3 linked regions of the Saccharomyces cerevisiae S288C genome follow. Changing the gene in region 1 together with any one later gene gives a genetic interaction. Each region holds a gene or a part of one and is shown in the gene's direction. Other genes may lie near its edges.

Region 1 (3,927 bases):
CTCTTCAGTACAATTGAACAGCATGATCTTTATGAGAACTTTCGCGGCTTCTAAATTTCCTGCTTTTATCGATTCTATAAGCAGCGTAGAACCATCAATCGTTTCGTCCTCTAAAAGGTCTTCTACTGGAAAGTCGTTTTCATATTCAGAAAGAATATCTAATAAGATGTAGTTTTTATGATTTGTTATACATATGGATAGAATGGATTGTCCTTGCTCATTTCTGTAGGTCAAAATATCCTTGTATGTTGCCAGATCTTCTACTTCATTTGTGGGGTTTTCACATGACAACTTATCTAATAAATTCTTAGTTTTTTCACATAATGTGTTAGCTTTCGCCACGTTGCCTGTATTTTTGTTGAAGTCTTCGAAATAACAAACCACTGCTTCCAGTGTGGATACAGCATACCCTAGAATGCCGAATTTTGTAGAAGAAGAGTTATTCGAAAAATTTTGCAAATAGTAAAGATGACTTTTAAGGTGCTTTTGTTCACTTCTGCAAACAACGAGCACAAAAAGGCTAATTAAAGTGTCTGCATCCATCGTCATGTTATTCAATCCGTCTGGTAGTTCTAGTTGATGTGAATCCATTTCGGTAGTACCTGATAATTTCTGTAGAGTTTCAACTAATATTTTAGATTTTTCAGCGTATGAATGGGTCAAAGCCAACTTTTGAAGATGTTTGGACGCTAGATGGAGACGCCTTTCAATAAGAGTGATGTCGTGTAATTTAAATTCCCCATAATCTTTTGAGTAAAAATCTGTCAACAACTGGTTCACTGAAAAATATTTATTTTTTCAGTGTCTACTTCGTGGCCTTTGAAATGTGTAGTAAGCCTAGACCATATATCATCGTAAAGATTTAGTTCAAAATAGTCGTGTATAAGATCGTAAAGATTAGAAAAGTTCTTGAAAAGTGAATCCGATTTCATTCCATCAAATGCTTGTTGCACGATGCTTTCAAAAATACTTCTAGATGGATCATCACCAGGAGCGAGCGTTCTGTAACTCGAAAACAATTGGCCAAGCTGTGTTAATCGAGCAGGATGAATGTGCAATATATTCTCGAATGACGATCTTTCTTGCTGAAAAGAATCTATCGACAGATTTGGCATAGCATGTGCATTTTTTGGTATTTTCTCATAATTGTGAAAACACTGTAAGTAGTCGTTAGGTACAAATTCGCAATTTAAAGGTTGATCTATGAATAGTATGATAAAATCAGCCGCCCCTTCAAAGTAGTCATTAAAATTGGGTAATATTTTTGTCTCTAGAATCTTTAGTCTTCGCCTTATATGAAATCCATTTAAGGCATGGATCACATTATTCTTCCATTGAATAACAACGGTCTTACCATCTAACGTTTCATAATGACTGTCCCTTGAATTCGTATTTATGTAAGAGTTTTCAGTCATTAACAATATGTAAGAGTTAATAAACTCTGCATTATAACAGAGGTCATGTAACGGCAGTTTGCTCTTGACATCGTGGTAATTCAAAAGGTATTCTGAAGGAGGTGCTAGGAGGATAAACCTACGGGTTTTTAAATTAGCGAAAAGCTTTTTCAATGGGGATCTTTCTGGTTCGGGACAGTTAAATATAGCATTAACCAGCGGGTTCAACAGCGTTGGTAAATGGTAAACTGACATTGTCAACCCTAGCTAAGCCATAGCTTTTCCGTTGAGGAATTTACAATAAGGTGGTTCCTTTAGTTATAAATTGCAACTGCCAAAATTTTCGGGTAGCGGCAAAATTAAACGAAAACCTTCTGTCATATTAAACATAGTTTAGTGACGCAATGCACACACACTCATATATATGTATATATTTATCTATATCATAGGTGTAAGGCAAAGTTATCACGTGAATATACTGTTTAGTATACAAGTACGTTGATTTAACGGCTGAGAGATTCTCAAACAAAGTAACGCTTAGTTTAGCTAAAGTAGAATCGAAGCGCAGTGAAGGCAAGACGAGTTATCCCTTTATCACAAAATATAAAAAATAGGTAAAGAGGGGGGTGGGGGTGGTTCGGACTTTGCATCTCGGTGCATTAGTACCACTCAGCTTCAGTTATAGGAATACTGACAATGTTCTTGAGCCAGGGAGAACTGAAATTTCCATACCCTTTAACCCTTTATTCTTGAGCATATGATCTTATTTTTCCACTCAGCACAAAATACACATCCCGCATATGATCTGGACACTGAATAAACAAGGGGCTTTACGATGGAGTAGTAGACCTGGATACGTAGTCACCACAGGGATCCTAAACTGCGTCATAGTAAGTTTCTTTGATACTAGAATGTCCCTCTCTCGTAGTAGTTGATATCCCGTATTTCTAGTTAGTGACGTTTATAAATAGGGAGAAAAAAAATCGGAATAACATTTCCATGCCTTTTTTTTGACACTTCAGACCAGATACGCCACCAGCTACAAACTAACAATGTCCACTGATAGTACACGCTATCCAATTCAGATTGAGAAAGCCTCGAATGATCCAACCCTTCTGCTTAATCACACATGTTTAAGAGTCAAGGATCCAGCAAGGACCGTTAAGTTCTACACCGAACACTTCGGTATGAAGCTATTAAGCAGAAAGGATTTTGAAGAAGCAAAATTTAGCTTGTACTTTTTAAGCTTTCCAAAAGACGACATACCCAAAAATAAGAATGGAGAGCCTGATGTTTTTAGCGCACACGGTGTCTTAGAACTAACTCACAATTGGGGTACTGAAAAAAACCCAGACTACAAGATCAACAACGGGAATGAGGAACCTCATCGTGGATTTGGGCACATCTGTTTTTCTGTATCCGATATCAATAAAACCTGCGAAGAGCTAGAATCTCAGGGTGTCAAATTCAAGAAGAGACTCTCTGAAGGAAGACAGAAGGACATTGCGTTTGCTTTAGGCCCTGATGGATACTGGATTGAGTTGATCACATATTCTAGAGAGGGTCAGGAATACCCAAAGGGCTCAGTAGGTAACAAGTTCAATCATACCATGATTCGTATTAAAAACCCAACCCGGTCTTTAGAATTCTACCAGAATGTGTTGGGCATGAAATTATTAAGAACTAGTGAGCACGAAAGTGCAAAATTTACGTTATACTTTCTTGGTTATGGCGTTCCAAAGACCGACAGCGTTTTTTCATGTGAAAGTGTGTTGGAGTTAACTCATAATTGGGGAACTGAGAATGATCCAAACTTCCACTATCATAACGGTAACTCAGAGCCCCAGGGTTATGGTCACATCTGCATAAGTTGTGATGACGCTGGCGCCCTTTGTAAAGAAATTGAAGTGAAATACGGCGATAAGATCCAATGGTCTCCTAAATTTAACCAAGGCAGAATGAAGAATATTGCCTTTTTGAAGGATCCTGATGGTTATTCCATTGAAGTCGTTCCTCATGGTTTGATTGCCTAAAAAGTTGAAATGAATAGGAGGTTAGTATTTTTTTTTTACAATAATGACCATTCTTGTTGACTTTTCATACACTAATTATTATTTATATTTTGTATTTAAGTACTTACTATAACGTCGACATCAACGCATACATGCCAAATATCTGGTGCAAAAGTTTTTATGCGTTCAAGCTTAGATCTCACAAACTGAAGTTTGATGCCACGGTTTCTAATTAATGCAATTGACTCATTAATAGCGTCGAGTTCTACAATGACATTCTTTTCGAAACTTCCATCCTCAATTGCATCTATGTGTACATTTTCATGTATATGCATTGTCACTTTTTCCAAAGAAGCTCCTTGTAAGTAAATTAATTTGATGGCCAATGGCCACCCTTGTTTGCTTGAAGGCAGGAGACCTAAATTAATATGCCTAATACGTAACCGAAATCCGGGATTCTGAGATAAGAATTCAGTAAGCCTTTGAACGCACATTTCATTTGATTCTTGGAAAACGTGGCA
Region 2 (7,716 bases), on another chromosome or scaffold:
AGTGAATGGTCGCCAATTACAATCAGAGTTTAAACAACCCACCAAAACTTCCATTTTTAACTATGCCGTGCACCCTGTTCCGCACCCTGTTTGTTCCAAACCGCGCTGTCGCACATTTGGCATAATGTAATGACAGACACCTCAGGGCTCAATACGCGAGTTCTAGGAAAGGGTGCAAAAAAATGAATATCTAATATAATATGACACTCGTATACCATTTTTGAAGTGAAGTTTTTGCACTATTTAAACTAATGATTATCTAACTTTTCTATATTCCTAATGCCGTGTTTATTTTCAGAAAGTCCTTTTGTTCGCCTGAATAATAATAGTAATAACAATACAATACCCGAAAATGAAATTGTCTTCCGCTTTTGTATTATCTGCTATCACCGTTGCCGCTTTAGGCGAAAGTATTACTACTACGATAACTGCTACCAAAAATGGGCATGTTTACACCAAGACTGTCACTCAAGATGCTACTTTTGTCTGGGCAGGAGAAGGCGCTGCGGTAACCTCCGCAGTAACTGAAGCGTCTACTGTCGCTGCAACGTCTGCTGCCGCTGAAACATCTGTTGCCGCTGAAACATCTATTGTTGAGCCTTCCACTTCTGCTCAGGGCACCTCTGCTGATGAAGGGTCTGGTTCGAGTATAACCACCACTATTACAGCCACCAAAAATGGACATGTCTACACAAAGACCGTCACCCAGGATGCTACTTTCGTATGGACTGGAGAGGGTGAACGTGCTCCTGCCTCAACTGTTGCTACTGTCGAAACATCTGTTGCCGCTGAAACATCTGTTGCTGAACCTTCTACCTCTGCTCAGGGCACCTCTGCTGATGAAGGGTCTGGTTCGAGTATAACCACCACTATTACAGCCACCAAAAATGGACATGTCTACACAAAGACCGTCACCCAGGACGCTACTTTCGTATGGACTGGTGAGGGTGAACGTGCTCCTGTCTCAACCGTTGCTACTGTCGAAACAGCTGCTTCTCCAGTAACATCTGTTGCTGAACCTTCTGCCTCTACTGATGAAGGATCTGGTTCGAGTATAACTACCACTATTACAGCCACCAAAAATGGACATGTCTACACAAAGACCGTCACCCAGGACGCTACTTTCGTATGGACTGGTGAGGGTGAACGCGCTCCTGCCTCCACCGTTGCAACTTCTAGTATTTCTGCTATTGAAATTCCCTCCACTACTGAGGCCTCTATTGTGGAGGCTTCTTCTGCTGTTGAGACTTCCTCTGCTGCTGAGACTTCCTCTGCTGTTGAGACTTCCTCTGCTGTTGAGACTTCCTCTGCTGTTGAGACTTCTTCTGCTGCTGAGACTTCCTCTGCTGCTGAGACTTCCTCTGCCGTTGAGACTTCCTCTGCTGTTGAGATTTCTTCTGCTGTTGAGACTTCTGCTGTTGAGACTTCTTCTTCTTCCTCTACTATCGAGACCACTTCTGTTAAAAGCTTATCTCCTACTCAGACTTCTCTTTCATCTTCTGTCCAGGCTTCTTCTCCTATTGAGACTTCTTCTGCTGCAAAAACCTCTTCTGTTGTGCCAACTTTTTCTTCTACTACTACTGAAAATTCCTCTAATTCTAAATCCACGTCTGCAGTTGTAGCATCTACTACCACCTCCTCTGAGTCAAGCGCTACTATTGTTACTCCTACTAGAATTGGGCAAGCTTACACAGAGAGTTCTTCTAGGGATGCCCAATCTGTTCGTACCCATGAAAGTAACAATTGGTCATCAAGTTCTTCTGCAAGCACAAAAATGGTATCCTCTATTACAAGAGTTCAAACCACTACCGCTGGTATTTTCACTAACGGTAAGTCGTCCACAACTCCTCAAATCGTGAATTACACGGGTGCGGCTGATTCTATCGCCGCTGGTACGGGTCTGATGGGCGCTGCGCTCGCTGCCGTTATCTTTTTGTAATTTCTGCTAACGACAGATGCGCAGAATCAACCTTTCTGATCTCTCCGTGGTCTTACTTTTCAAAATGGCATTGTGAATTAAGTATTTCATCATAGTTGATAAAGCTTATGTCCGCAATGTTATTTGTCTGCGTGACACTGGCTGTCTATAAGAATGTACCAGTATGTAATATTATATCAAGAAAATATCAGGTGTTGATTAAAATAATCTAAAAACAATGTCTATTTCACTTGTTAAATATGACTTTTCAAAAATAACCATTTTATTTATTTCTTGCTTTTTAAAAGGTGAGAGTGGGTATTTGTTTTATCTGACGCCAAGGAAAATAAAAGTTAAAAAATGACATGATGATTTTATAGTTCAAAACAAGAAATGAACTTTCGTGTTTGTGATCAGATTCAAATGGAGTATAATACTGAAAGAAGGTCGAGAAAGACAAGCAAGCAAATTCACAACTTCATTGAGCGCATTTTATTGAAATTACCTGTAGCAATGAGTAGTTCAGTTTGTCATATAATTATGTTTTTGTGAGAAATTTTAGCTTTTGGTACTGTGCCAGTTATCCGAATTTAAAAAAAAAAGTTATATATGGCTGTAATAATTTAGGTCAGAGAGAAGAAAACACGAAGTTTACTACGTGTATTAAAAATAGAACATTAAACATGCACCAAATGCTTTAATGAACACTTTCGGAAGAATAAGCCCATAAAAAAATCACGACGTACCGTTGCGACAGATAGGATCGTTCTTTCTAGGAGATTTTTTAGCTGCTACGGAATAAAAGAAATAATGCTGACTAATACGCAGGATATCCATGGGAGGCGGCTTTTTGTTCTGACGGATCCATAAATCCCGTAAAGAAATCTGGGCGAATGTATACAGAGAATTAACGTTACTCATTCCTAGCCTGAAAATCAAAAAGCTTGGCATAAGGGGCATGTACATAGTCTTCATGAAAGAAATGGAAAATTTTTTCAAGGGATGGCTTCACGGTTCCATTATTGCTTCCGGTTTCCGTTACCCTTTAAATCAGATATATAAACAGCCATAAGGAGAACCATTCATTTCTTTATCATCCGCTAAATTTTATTAACGGCATTTTTAAGTACTTCCCACTGGCTAATTACACAGATAAAACTCAAACAAATTTATAATGGCCCCAAAAAAAGTTTTACTCGCTCTTACCTCATATAACGATGTATTCTACAGTGACGGCGCCAAGACCGGTGTTTTTGTTGTAGAAGCCTTACATCCCTTCAACACATTCCGAAAAGAAGGTTTTGAAGTCGATTTTGTATCTGAAACCGGAAAATTTGGTTGGGATGAGCATTCCTTAGCCAAAGATTTTCTAAATGGTCAAGACGAAACGGATTTTAAAAATAAAGACTCAGATTTCAACAAGACATTGGCTAAAATTAAGACACCAAAAGAGGTGAATGCCGATGATTACCAAATTTTTTTTGCATCTGCAGGCCACGGTACCTTATTTGACTATCCTAAGGCTAAAGACTTGCAGGACATTGCTTCCGAAATTTATGCTAACGGTGGTGTTGTCGCAGCTGTTTGTCACGGTCCTGCTATTTTTGATGGGTTAACAGACAAAAAAACAGGAAGACCATTGATCGAAGGTAAATCTATCACCGGTTTTACTGATGTTGGTGAAACCATTTTGGGTGTTGATAGTATTTTGAAAGCCAAGAATTTGGCAACCGTTGAAGATGTTGCTAAAAAATATGGCGCTAAGTATTTAGCTCCGGTTGGGCCCTGGGATGATTACTCTATTACTGACGGAAGACTGGTAACAGGTGTGAATCCTGCTTCTGCGCACTCCACTGCCGTAAGATCCATCGACGCTTTAAAAAACTGAGCCAAAGGTTGATAATTAGAATTTCCTTTGTACTACTATATAGATGTAAGGAACTTTAGGAGGCGTTATTGAGTACGAGGGATGTACCTCATTGTTAATACGTTGAAATATTTGGATATTGGGGAAACACATGTCTGAGATGGGTCTTCCAATAACCAAAGTTTATAATCTTTATCTTTTATCTGCTTTAGCTAGAGGTTAATAGTGAAGACTACATTTGGTCTCCAACAAGGTGCTACAATTTATTTTTCAGCCACTCCGTTGCACAGCATTTATCTAGCCAACGTTAATATCAATGAGAATGGAGAAGAAAGCATTAGCGTCGTTACGCTGCAAATCATCTATGCAATATGTAAAACTATACATAAAACTTTCTAAATTTTTTTTTTTTCATTTTGGTATTTCTGTCAGCTGCCGATGCTTCCTAAAGGGTTTATTCATGTGGGACATTGTAGGTGTGTTTCAGTTATCTAATGGTTATTTGCATCTTAGTGAGCTGTTCCTTGCGGTTTCTTGCTAAATGATCACGAAAAATGTTTTTTTCTCAGGTTAATTATGGCAGAATGTCGACACGAATTGGTCATATTGAAAATATTTAGTAATGCCCATCAATTAAATTGAACGTTATATCATCCGGATAAACAATATCTTCCAGATTAAAAAGGAAAAATAATTTAGGGCATACGTATTAGGTTATTCAACCAGAAATTAGCATTTGGCTGTCTTTAATGCCATCGCTTGGGAACTAGGCAGTTAAATATAAGCACATGTAAAAAAAGTGAAGATCGCGTAACTCATTATTTATAAACACAAGGAGAATGAGCAGCATCAAAAAAACTTCAACCAATAGAAAAAAACATATAGACTAGCTTTAAAACAAAATTAGTGAAGAAATGGATACAGGGAGTGCGAGCATAAAGGACTATGAGACCGTGTTAACGGATATTGAGGATTCTATTGCTGTGAGCAGCGAAGAAGTGCTAAATAACCAAGAACTAAGGCTCAAAAATACATTGCACGAAATTACTTCCAGCATTCTGGCAATAAATGAAGAGAACAAGTTTGTGAATCCTCTTAGGAACGATGAGAGCTTAGACGTAGAGGGAAAGGAGGTCTTTGTAAATCCAAAAATTCTGAGTGCAAAAATCAAGGAGTTCAATAAACTAATGGAGTTACTTAAGTTGACTTACTTGGAACAGGAGACATTGGACTATTTCTTCAGGTTTACTTTGTCCTCGACGAAACCTTTGCAGTTAGATTCCGAAAAAGACCCCCAATTTGTAAAACTTAATGAAAGAGTTAATGATTTAAAGGAAGAAATTTCGAATGTTCAAGAAAGCAAAATAGAACAAATCAAAGCTGAAATCCAAGAGACCGGTCACAACTTTGCAGAAAGGCAAGATTTAATAAATGAGTTGTATCTGGAAGCCACTGGTGATATTGAAAATTGTTGGGATTCGCTCAATGAACTAAAAAATTTAACAAACAAAGAAGATAAGAATATGATGGGAGAAAAAGATACGATATTAAATTCAAGTGATTCAGATGATTTTGTGGAAGAGACATACACGAATTGGCAAAAACTACTATTTTTGCAGAAGCAAAATCAAAGGTTAACGAAAGAGCTCAAGGAAATGCATGAAGTTAAAAATCAAATAATACGAAAAGGAGAGCAATCAAAAAAAGAGGATTCTGGACATTTAATGGCCAATGAATCAGAATTATGTCAGTCAATTAATTTGCTAACAAAATTTTGGGAAAAGCACTTTTTACTCAAAGGGTCAAAGACGACTATATTAAATTTTGAAATCTTTACCCAGCTTGGAAAAGTACAATTTGAAATAAAGGATATGCAATATATAATTGCCATATCTTTAAGCGATTTAAAAAGGCCAATGATAAAAGACATTACTATTTTACAAAAAGCGGGTGGCAATATAGTCACAGACATTGAAGCGAGCAGTAAATTTAACAATAAGTACAGAAATAATACTAAGGTGCAAATCTTTGAGGTAATGGATGACATTATAAGCGAGCTAACAAACGAATAAATTAATTATCTAGATAAAGATGTATGTAATATTACTAGCCAAAAAAAAAGTGAAATCTATCTACGTACTTGTTTTCTTAGTAGATGAATGACGAGACGCGCTTAGGAAAGCACCCATTGCACCCAAATAGCCTTCATGTTTGAGAAAAAACGCTTGCTTTGATCCTTGTGACCAAAAATTAATAGCGTAGCTCAAAGTGTTCATGGTAGTCAAATGTCCTCTGGTATAAGATCCGCCAAAGTATATATTCTGTATATTATTGATTTTAGCTTGCAAATAAGCTATTTGCCCAATATTGTTGGAGATGGCGAATAGAAGACTTTTACAAATATCAGGATTCTTAAACATTTGTCCATTGTTTTTCTCAATAGACTCATGTGAGGAATATAATTTATTTTCGTTGTTTTCCAAAGATTTGTTAGATGTCATTCTATTTTGGAAAACTTTACCAAATGAACTTGCAATAGCTGACGACTTTAGACCAATTTTATTATAGTCTGTTCCATAAATATCTCCAACTAGCATATCAACGCTAGAATTGTCACCCTCTTGTGCCCAATCGAGCATCTGATCATAAGTTTGAGCGCCAGTAATTAGTGATAATAGGCCCCAAAGAGTTCCTCCTCCCAGTGAAGAACCGCCTACTCTACTAAAATTGTTTGGTTCGGTGACTTTTAATATTGAGACACCCGACCCTATATTGACTAGAAGGTATGGGTAGATAGCCTTTGAGTCCATGGTGCCGGAACTGGTGGGTATTATCCTTTCGCCATCTTGATCGTTGTAAGTGAAAACTTCATCGGGAATCTCATGAATGAAAAAGTCTAAACCGTGAATTAAGCCTTCCATTTCTTCGAACCTCGATATACCTTTTATTTGAGGAAAATTTTCATACAACAAATCATAAAACTTGAAGGCGCCACCACCAGTGGCAATTATATGAGTCATTCTATAGCATCCATTGTTATGTTCTTTGATAATAGAATGCAGAAGTTCCATGAACTTGTCAATTTTCTCTGTTTCAATGGTGTAGAACATCAGCCTGTTACTGTGTATAGGCGAGAAGACTACTTTAGCCAGAGTGCCTCCTATATCAATAGCAAGGTTGAAAGTATTGTCGCCATAATCGCAATTGTAAGATATCTCTTGAGTAATTCGCGGCATTGCGATTCTTTTCGCATGCACTCAATTGGAACTATAAATTTCTTTATTCTGGTAGTTTTTTAGTTTTAATGATCAATCTGTTCAGAAACATAAGTTCTTTTTACTCATCGTTATGTTGGTGAAATAAAATTTCGGCCGATATTGGGGGAACTGCGCTAGTCGTTTAACGTCATGTAAGATTCCTAAGTGGAACAGTCAGAAGTAAAAAAAAAAAAATCGGTCCCGGCAATTACAAACTAAAGGAGCTCAATGCGTAGATCGCGGATAGTTCTCCGCATTTGAGTGAAACTTTTTGAGATACTGTCGTAAATACGCAATCATGAACGACCATATGAATAATACTCGATCATACCAACGTCACGTGTAAAGCTTTTGCCTGTTTCGAAAATGTGTTGAACTATTGAAATATAATAAAATTAAAAGGCAACCGAGCCCCTGGGTCAGAGAAAATAGGAAGACAAAGATGATTGAAGAGAATTTGAAACAGAAAATCCACGATAAGTTCGTTGCAGCCAAAAAGAATGGGCATCTGAAAGTAACGCATGCAGAATCCAAGAAGTTGAAAGATCCTCAAACGACGACACAATATTGGGTGACATTTGCTCCATCTTTGGCACTTAAGCCAGACGCTAACAAGAATAGCGATTCAAAGGCGGAGGACCCGTTCGCCAATCCCGACGAAGAACTAGTGGTGA
Region 3 (7,800 bases), on another chromosome or scaffold:
GATGACTCTGGTGACTTGTTCAGCTGGAATACCAGTCAACATGGTGGTGAAGTCACCATAGTTGAAAACAGCTTCAGCAATCTCAACTGGGTAGGTCTCTGTTGGATGAGCTGCTTGAAACAAGTAGTATTGAGCCAAATGAGCTCTGATATCGGAGACGTAAACACCCAATTCGACCAAGTTGACTCTTTCGTCAGATGGAGATAGAGTGGTAGTGGCTGGAGCAGCGGCAACACCGGCAGCGATAGCGGCAACACCAGCAGCGATTGAAGTTAATTTGACCATTGTATTTGTTTTGTTTGTTAGTGCTGATATAAGCTTAACAGGAAAGAAATGAATAAAGACATATTCTCGAAGGCATATAGTTGAAGTATCTCTATTTATACCTATTCCTTCATTGGTCATCACCACTTAAACGATTCGTTAACAGATGCTCCTTTAGCACTTCACATATTCTCCATATCTCATCTTTCCCACAACTTCATGATCACTATGAAGATGTTTTTGTTTTTAAACGAGGCATGCATCTTTATAGATTCTGTATGCGAAGGTATTGTTTTCTGGGGCCTTTGTCTATTCGTATGCGCCGAATGTGAGAATGCCAGTTATAGGGGTGCCGAGGTGCCTTATAAAACCCTTTTCCGTGCCTGTGATACTTCCTTTTTTGGTATAGCAGAATGTCTGAATTTAGTTGCTATAGATCCTCGTTCAGAAGCGTATTGCTAAGCCTATCTCCAGTATACCCTAAACGATCGCCGAGAAAAAATAATACTGTACCCTCCTATTTCCCGGAATTGTACAGAATAGTAGGTATGTGCTGGGAGTCGTATATTGTTAGAGTCTGTAATTTTTACGCGCGCCTAGTGGATTCGTTGATACGATTACGTTATTCTAAACCGTCGCAAAGCAAATTGTGTTGAAGTAATTCAAGACTTTAAATCACTTGTACCAAAATCATTGTTGCGAAAACTTATCCTCAGTATTAGTTTCTTGACCGTAACAGTAGTTGAAAAAAATAAAATCATTTCTATGATCGATACACTTTCATTATTTAACTTCTCTATTATGGTGTAACTTCTTACTTTTGTCAGAAAAAAAGATTTCAAGACACAACAAGAATGGGGTCAAAGGTCTGCTTGTACTATCAGGAAGATTTGATACCAACCGCGTTATAAGGGTTACTAGAAAGTAATAGCTGCTAAAAAATTTAAACCGAAGAGATTAATCAGAAAGCTGAAAAACTGCAGTGTTAGTAGAGTTGTAAGCATTTCTTGATTGGAACAGCCTTCCCCCACACGTCCACCCTTGTTCAGACAGATTCGTAATGATTTTGTGTGTAGGCAATGGAAAACTTTAAAAACGGTTTGATTTCCTACAAGATAAAACATATGAATAAAATAACTTGTGTCAAATGCCCCATTTCCATACTGTAACCCAAATCAACGAAATAAAAAATAAAACCTCATATGATTTACTTTATTTAGTCATAAAAAAACAAAAAAAAAAAAAAAAAAAAAGGAAACAAGACAATCCTTTATAGTTTGTTTCCATCATGAAACCTATGACCAGCATATATACAATCGTCCCCCAGTTCCTCTTCGATACGCAAAAGTTCATTATACTTGGCCAGTCTTTCTGATCTCGACAAAGCGCCCGATTTAATTTGACCACATCTTAAACCAACGACCAAATCAGCGATAAACGGATCTTCGGTTTCACCTGATCTATGCGATATCATTACACCCCATCCAGCATCGAAAGCCTGATTGGCGGCTTCAATAGACTCAGTCAGAGTACCGATCTGGTTGAGTTTCAGCAACAGAGTATTCGCACATTTCTCCTCTATAGCACGGGCGATCCTGGTCTTGTTGGTGCATGTCAGGTCATCTGCAATAATCTGAACATTGACAGTCTTTAGGAAGGCAGACCACGAGGACCAATCATCTTCGGCGTAGGGATCTTCCAGGGAAATGATTGGGTATTTCTTTAGCAATGAATGGTAATATTCTGCTAACTGGGCTGGACTGAGCCAGTGAGATGGGTCAGAGTTCGGTTCCTTGAAATTTAGGTCGTATTTCCCGTCCTTATAAAAAACAGAAGGAGCACTATCGATTCCTACTTTCACTCTACCCTCGTAACCGCATATGTTAATGGCTTCCACAATCATGTCCAAGGCGTCTTCGGCAGTGTCAATATCGGGGGCAACTCCACCCTCGTCACCAACATTTCCAGCGGAAGGTCCATATTGCTCCTTCGCCAATATCTTCAAATGATGGTAAACTTCCGAACCCATCCTCATGGCTTCTGCAAAGCTCTGAGCCCCGACTGGCGCGATCTTGAATTCTTGCATAGCTAAAGAGCCACCGGCGTGGGCTCCACCATTCAAAACATTGAAAAAAGGAACAGGAATAACAAAGGGGTCCTGTCTAGCATCCGCTAACTCGGCTATATACTTGTAGAGAGTAATTCCCTTTTGTGCGGCAGCAGCTCGAGCAACGCACAAGGAAACACCAAGGATAGCATTGGCGCCCAACCTTGACTTGTTAGAAGTTCCGTCTAACGATATCATGAGCTCGTCTATGCCCTTCTGATTGGTTACACATAATTCGGACTTGATTAAAGCAGGCCCTATGATACTATTGACGTTACTGACTGCCTTGGTCACCCCTTTTCCCATCCATTCGGACTTGTTCCCGTCTCTAAGTTCAACAGCTTCGTGAATGCCGGTGGAGGCACCAGATGGGACGATCGCTCTGAAGAGACCATTCTCTGTTGTAATTTCAACCTCAACAGTCGGATTGCCGCGAGAATCATACACCGTTCTAGCATGTACCTTCGTGATGGACATATTTTTATCGTTGAGATTCGATTTTTTCCTCACCTTGTTTTGGTATTTCTATTGCAAGACAAAGTGAAAGAAGAAGAAGTGGTGGTAAAAAATAACTATATATAATGAAAATTGTAACCTGGTGGGAGTGCAAACTGTAAGTGATAACCTGCCAGATCCATGTTTCTATTATATACCTAAGAACCAGCCAAGTTAGGTAAACGAGGAGTCTTTCAATATCTCTTTTCTAGTGAGAATGTTATTTAGGTAAATGAACAAGTTACCACTATACTACTCACCCCCTACACTTTGTTTGTGACCTCTCCCCTTATCCAGTTCATCGAAACTTTTTTTTCAACTTGTGGCGATCTGTGACATTGTCTACTACAAGAACCGATTTTGGTTGATGTCTGTAAAAAAAACAACCTTACCTTTCCAGATCCAACTTTCCAGGAGAGCTGCGTGAGTTTCAAATATTTACCATGTCGGAGAAAGCTCCCAAGTACTTCCTTGTTCTTGTCATTTTTTCCTTATCTCCATCCTTTAAGGAAGGTATTTCCATTATGCGATTCTATAAATCCGAGCATGCGAGTATTTCTTTTCTTGGCGCGGAGTCGCTGATGACGCAATAGGCACATTCACGAACATCCAGGACTGGTAATCTTCTCGTCTTAAAGAAAATCCAACCACCAGTAAGAAACTCTTGGGTAAAATGGGGTATCTGAAATATTGCATAGCTGCAAATGAAGATATTCAGTATCAGCATAGGTATTTTCATGAAGGATAGGTAAAAAGAAAGAAAAGAAAAATATCTTTTTGACTGTTGTTCTTGCAATTATCACAATTAGGGGACTTTAAAACCGATACTTGATATATGAGCACAGTCAAGGGGCCGGTTCTTGAGATTTTAATGGAAAAGAGGAAAGTTGCACATACAGGTCTGCTTTTCTTTGCTTGCTCCAGACAACGATACTTAGAACTAAAACATATTTCTAGAACACTTTTCTCCTTCATTCAAAAAGAAAACTGGCCTTGCAATGACTCCAAAAAGAGCGCTAATATCTCTTACTTCATACCACGGTCCCTTCTATAAAGATGGTGCGAAAACAGGCGTTTTTGTAGTTGAGATTTTGCGGTCGTTCGATACTTTCGAAAAGCATGGTTTCGAAGTGGACTTCGTTTCTGAGACTGGTGGATTTGGCTGGGATGAACATTACTTGCCAAAGAGCTTTATTGGTGGCGAAGATAAGATGAACTTTGAAACGAAAAATTCCGCCTTCAATAAGGCGTTAGCGAGGATCAAGACCGCAAATGAAGTCAACGCCAGCGACTATAAAATATTCTTTGCATCTGCTGGACATGGTGCTCTATTTGACTATCCCAAAGCTAAAAATCTGCAAGATATTGCATCCAAGATATATGCCAATGGGGGTGTGATCGCTGCCATCTGTCATGGACCGCTCCTTTTCGATGGATTAATAGATATCAAAACAACAAGACCATTAATCGAAGGCAAAGCTATAACAGGTTTCCCACTCGAGGGTGAAATCGCCCTGGGAGTTGACGACATCTTGAGGAGCAGAAAATTGACAACGGTTGAACGCGTTGCAAACAAGAATGGAGCCAAGTACTTGGCGCCAATCCATCCCTGGGATGACTACTCTATTACAGATGGAAAGCTAGTTACGGGTGTTAACGCAAATTCTTCCTATTCGACCACAATTAGAGCTATAAACGCATTATATAGCTGAAACAAAAGACAAGGGAATTGTTGAAGGGGAGGCTTCTAATGGCTTTCAGTTTCTGTGAAGAGAAGGCTAACAGCTCAATGGTTCGAAAGGTAAAGAAAACGGCAGGTCGGTAGCACTCGATTTTGCTAGAATGGAAATCATATAGAGAACAATTGAATAGTAGGCCTTGGTTTTTAGTGTTGTACTCATCATGGTCATATGTGACATAGGTAATGTACATATATATATAAAAAAAAAAAAAGCAATGCTGTGAGATCATTCGTTACTTACGAAATACGCAGATTGCAATTTGAAATAAGCTGTGTTTTCTTTTTTTTCCTTTTTTTTTCTTTTTTTTGGCTTGTTATATACAACTTTTTTCTATTTCTGTTCTTTTTAGAAGTAATTAATTGGTACATAGGAAATAAATATGAATTATATTAAATGAAGTAAAAGTAAAAGAAAACGGGGAAATTTATCGTTTTGTAGTAAATAGATGATGGAACGCATTCATAAAATCTCACAAAATATTACAATAAACCGCAGTAGTCGGTAAAAATGTATTATACAACGTCTAAAATCTTGAAAATGAATTAAAAAAAAAAAAAGGTGGGATGATTGTGCAGGAAAAGGTATGAAGAAAAGATCCTAACAAATCGGGTTAGTCAATCCTCTAGTCCAAGCATAGGATCCGAGAGTTATCACCAATAAGCAATATGAAATTCCAATCGAAACAGTATAATAAATAAGCATGTTAATAAATGATAGCTTATACCCTTCATTGATAAACGTGCTAATGGTACTCAAAGTGCCGCAAAATCCGGATATTAACGCAGAAACAATATGGCATGAATTCAACGAGTTCACAATTGGAATATCCGTGGAAAAGTGTTTTTTACCACGTTGCACCATGGTAAATATGCCAATCAATAAAGTGGCGAAAACGTTTGCCAAGAAAGTACCCAATGGAAACTTTTTGTTTGTTTTATTAAACATTTCTGCCAACCAATATCTTAGGAAACCAGCGAAAATTCCAAATAGACATGGTAGTGTCCACTTGCCCCTCGAATAGTTCTCATAATACGCACACAGCACCACAAACAAAATAATTAATGGAAAAGCTAGTGCGTACGCGAGTTTATCCACAACATCAAAAAATTTCTTAAAAAATGGTGCTGGAGTTTTGAATTTAAACTCTAGAATATTTTTTTCCATTTCTTGTGTATCAACATCACCAGCATTTTCCTTTACAGTGTCTGAGGGAGGGGTATATGGCTTCGAAAACGAACTAGATCCATAAGCAACAATAACCTCCTTACCAAGTTGCCTACCGAAAATAAGACTACCCATGGAAACCATAAGATGAACGAGCAAGACAGATAAAAACTCCATTATACCGTAAGCTCTGTTCGGCAGTTTTGTGTGGTTAGCGATATTACCGTTAGTTAAGTTTGTAGAGTGTTCGAACATCTCTAGCAGCATACTAGAAAAGGAAGACAGGGCACCACAGTACCCAGTAGTTACACCTAAAAACAAGACTTGGTGATCTTTCATCCAAGTGTAAGCATTTAAAGATTGCATAATCCCCATTAGCATGCAGGATGAACAATTAGACCAGAGAACGGTCGGAGCAGTAACGAAGGCCGGAGTGTAGGTGGAAAGCGCCGTTATAGCCTGACGTGTTTCAGTACCTAATATGCAGAACGTGGTGAATGTACAAAAAACATGAATATAATGGCTCAACTTGTGATTTGATATGACCGGATTGAAAATCATCAGAGCATTACACGCTCGATTAAATAATTAAATAACTGCAGATTCTTGAGCCACCAGACGCTAAATAATAATGGCGGCAATAAATATAATCCTTTAGTACTTATTTCAGTTGTTTTTTGTTTTATTTTTTCCGTATCTCTTCCGTATCTCTTCCATCATTGCGTCAAAAGTGATTTACACTGCTACATGAATCGCGCCACTTTATGTCAGTGAATCTTTCATACATCGCAACTCCTCACTGACAGTGACTCTAGCAGAGTCACCATCTTTTCGATATACCCATCAAAGTGCACGATTCTCCTCCCCTGTTAGACAATCGTAACGTAATATCGACATGTATTCGTAGCACCGCTGCCAAATAATTTTCAGATCGTTCATTGTACATGAACCAAGCGCTGTTGCTTTACTTTATGATATTGCTGCTGAGCTCCCTTGTCTTTCATACGACGTTTTATCTTGATTTCATATCTTTTTTTTTTGGTAAAATAGAAAATACTCAACAGATATCTGATATGTATATAAACACTAAATAAAGAAAATCTTAAATCTTGCTGGCATGACTGTCGCTGTGTCTCAAATCTCTTAGTAATTCATAGATGTGTATCACCCCAAATCTCAAAAACTTCATAATTATTATTGGATTATCTAGAAATCATACCCTTCATACTGTCCCACAATGGCCTGCTCACATGAGGCGCTAATGATTACGATTAACCATCAAATCATTTATATTGATACACTGTAGTTTACTGTTAATAACCAACCTTTGTCGAGATTCATCAAAGTGGGTTCCAAATCCCTCATTGTGGGAACCTGGTTCAGTCATACCCATTGGAGATGGGCCCCAGGAAGGAGTGTAACAAACTTCATCCCAATTGCATTGCCTCTCACAACGGTAATTTAGTTCAATCCACCCTAGAGATTCAATTAAACCATCGATAGTGGAGCGAGCCGTTTCGACATTCTTTATTAAGTCGCTGGAAGTTGTGTTATCTGTCATAAAAGAGTAGACTTCGGGTATCAATAAATCATTCACTTTATAAATGACATCAACAATTTCTCCGACAACGCTGACAGCAGATGACCAAATCAAAAAGTCTGCATCCGTTTTTAAGGCCTGGTATGGGCTCACATATTGGTAGACAAAAGTTCAATGTGAGTGCTGTTGCATTGATGGCAATTGACTCATTAATATCACCATCGCTGTTCAGTATGTTACTAACAGATTTTAGTAATGGAGCAAATTTAAGGACAAGCTCATCAAATGCTAACTGCCAATCCATACTTTGCGTGGCATCAAATCCGACTTCCAGCGCCTTTTCTAAGTCATCTACCATGTCCAATTGCTTTTCCCATGTCATTCCTTCATCGAGTAATCTTCTGTTGTTAGGATCAGGAGCAATGTACGTCCTGTTTATCCCGCTCACTAGGTACCTATAGTCGATATGGATTCGATGCTCCCCGTTG

Evidence for each region.
Region 2: of GLO1 (region 1) and HSP31, extra expression of one rescues a mutant of the other (dosage rescue), as found in Saccharomyces cerevisiae (one study listed by BioGRID).
Region 3: of GLO1 (region 1) and HSP32, extra expression of one rescues a mutant of the other (dosage rescue), as found in Saccharomyces cerevisiae (one study listed by BioGRID).

What each region holds. Positions count from the first base shown.
Region 1 is NC_001145.3:261,205-265,131, reverse strand, and holds GLO1 (lactoylglutathione lyase GLO1), read left to right. Parts: upstream 1-2,446; coding exon 2,447-3,427; downstream 3,428-3,927. Other genes in the region: VRL1 (Vrl1p), read right to left, coding at 1-591; YML003W (uncharacterized protein), read right to left, coding at 777-1,649; TRM12 (tRNA(Phe) (4-demethylwyosine(37)-C(7)) aminocarboxypropyltransferase), read right to left, coding at 3,523-3,927. UniProt on the Saccharomyces cerevisiae protein: Catalyzes the conversion of hemimercaptal, formed from methylglyoxal and glutathione, to S-lactoylglutathione. Can use gamma-glutamylcysteine as a substrate.
Region 2 is NC_001136.10:1,497,537-1,505,252, reverse strand, and holds HSP31 (glutathione-independent methylglyoxalase), read left to right. Parts: upstream 1-3,092; coding exon 3,093-3,806; downstream 3,807-7,716. Other genes in the region: FIT1 (Fit1p), read left to right, coding at 353-1,939; KRE28 (Kre28p), read left to right, coding at 4,700-5,857; CAB1 (pantothenate kinase), read right to left, coding at 5,918-7,021; APA2 (bifunctional AP-4-A phosphorylase/ADP sulfurylase), read left to right, coding at 7,485-7,716. UniProt on the Saccharomyces cerevisiae protein: Catalyzes the conversion of methylglyoxal (MG) to D-lactate in a single glutathione (GSH)-independent step. May play a role in detoxifying endogenously produced glyoxals. Involved in protection against reactive oxygen species (ROS).
Region 3 is NC_001148.4:8,023-15,822, forward strand, and holds HSP32 (glutathione-independent methylglyoxalase family protein), read left to right. Parts: upstream 1-3,864; coding exon 3,865-4,578; downstream 4,579-7,800. Other genes in the region: seripauperin PAU22, read right to left, coding at 1-405; phosphopyruvate hydratase ERR2, read right to left, coding at 1,535-2,848; FEX2 (fluoride transporter), read right to left, coding at 5,206-6,333; YPL278C (uncharacterized protein), read right to left, coding at 7,031-7,333; YPL277C (uncharacterized protein), read right to left, coding at 7,383-7,800. UniProt on the Saccharomyces cerevisiae protein: Catalyzes the conversion of methylglyoxal (MG) to D-lactate in a single glutathione (GSH)-independent step. May play a role in detoxifying endogenously produced glyoxals. Involved in protection against reactive oxygen species (ROS).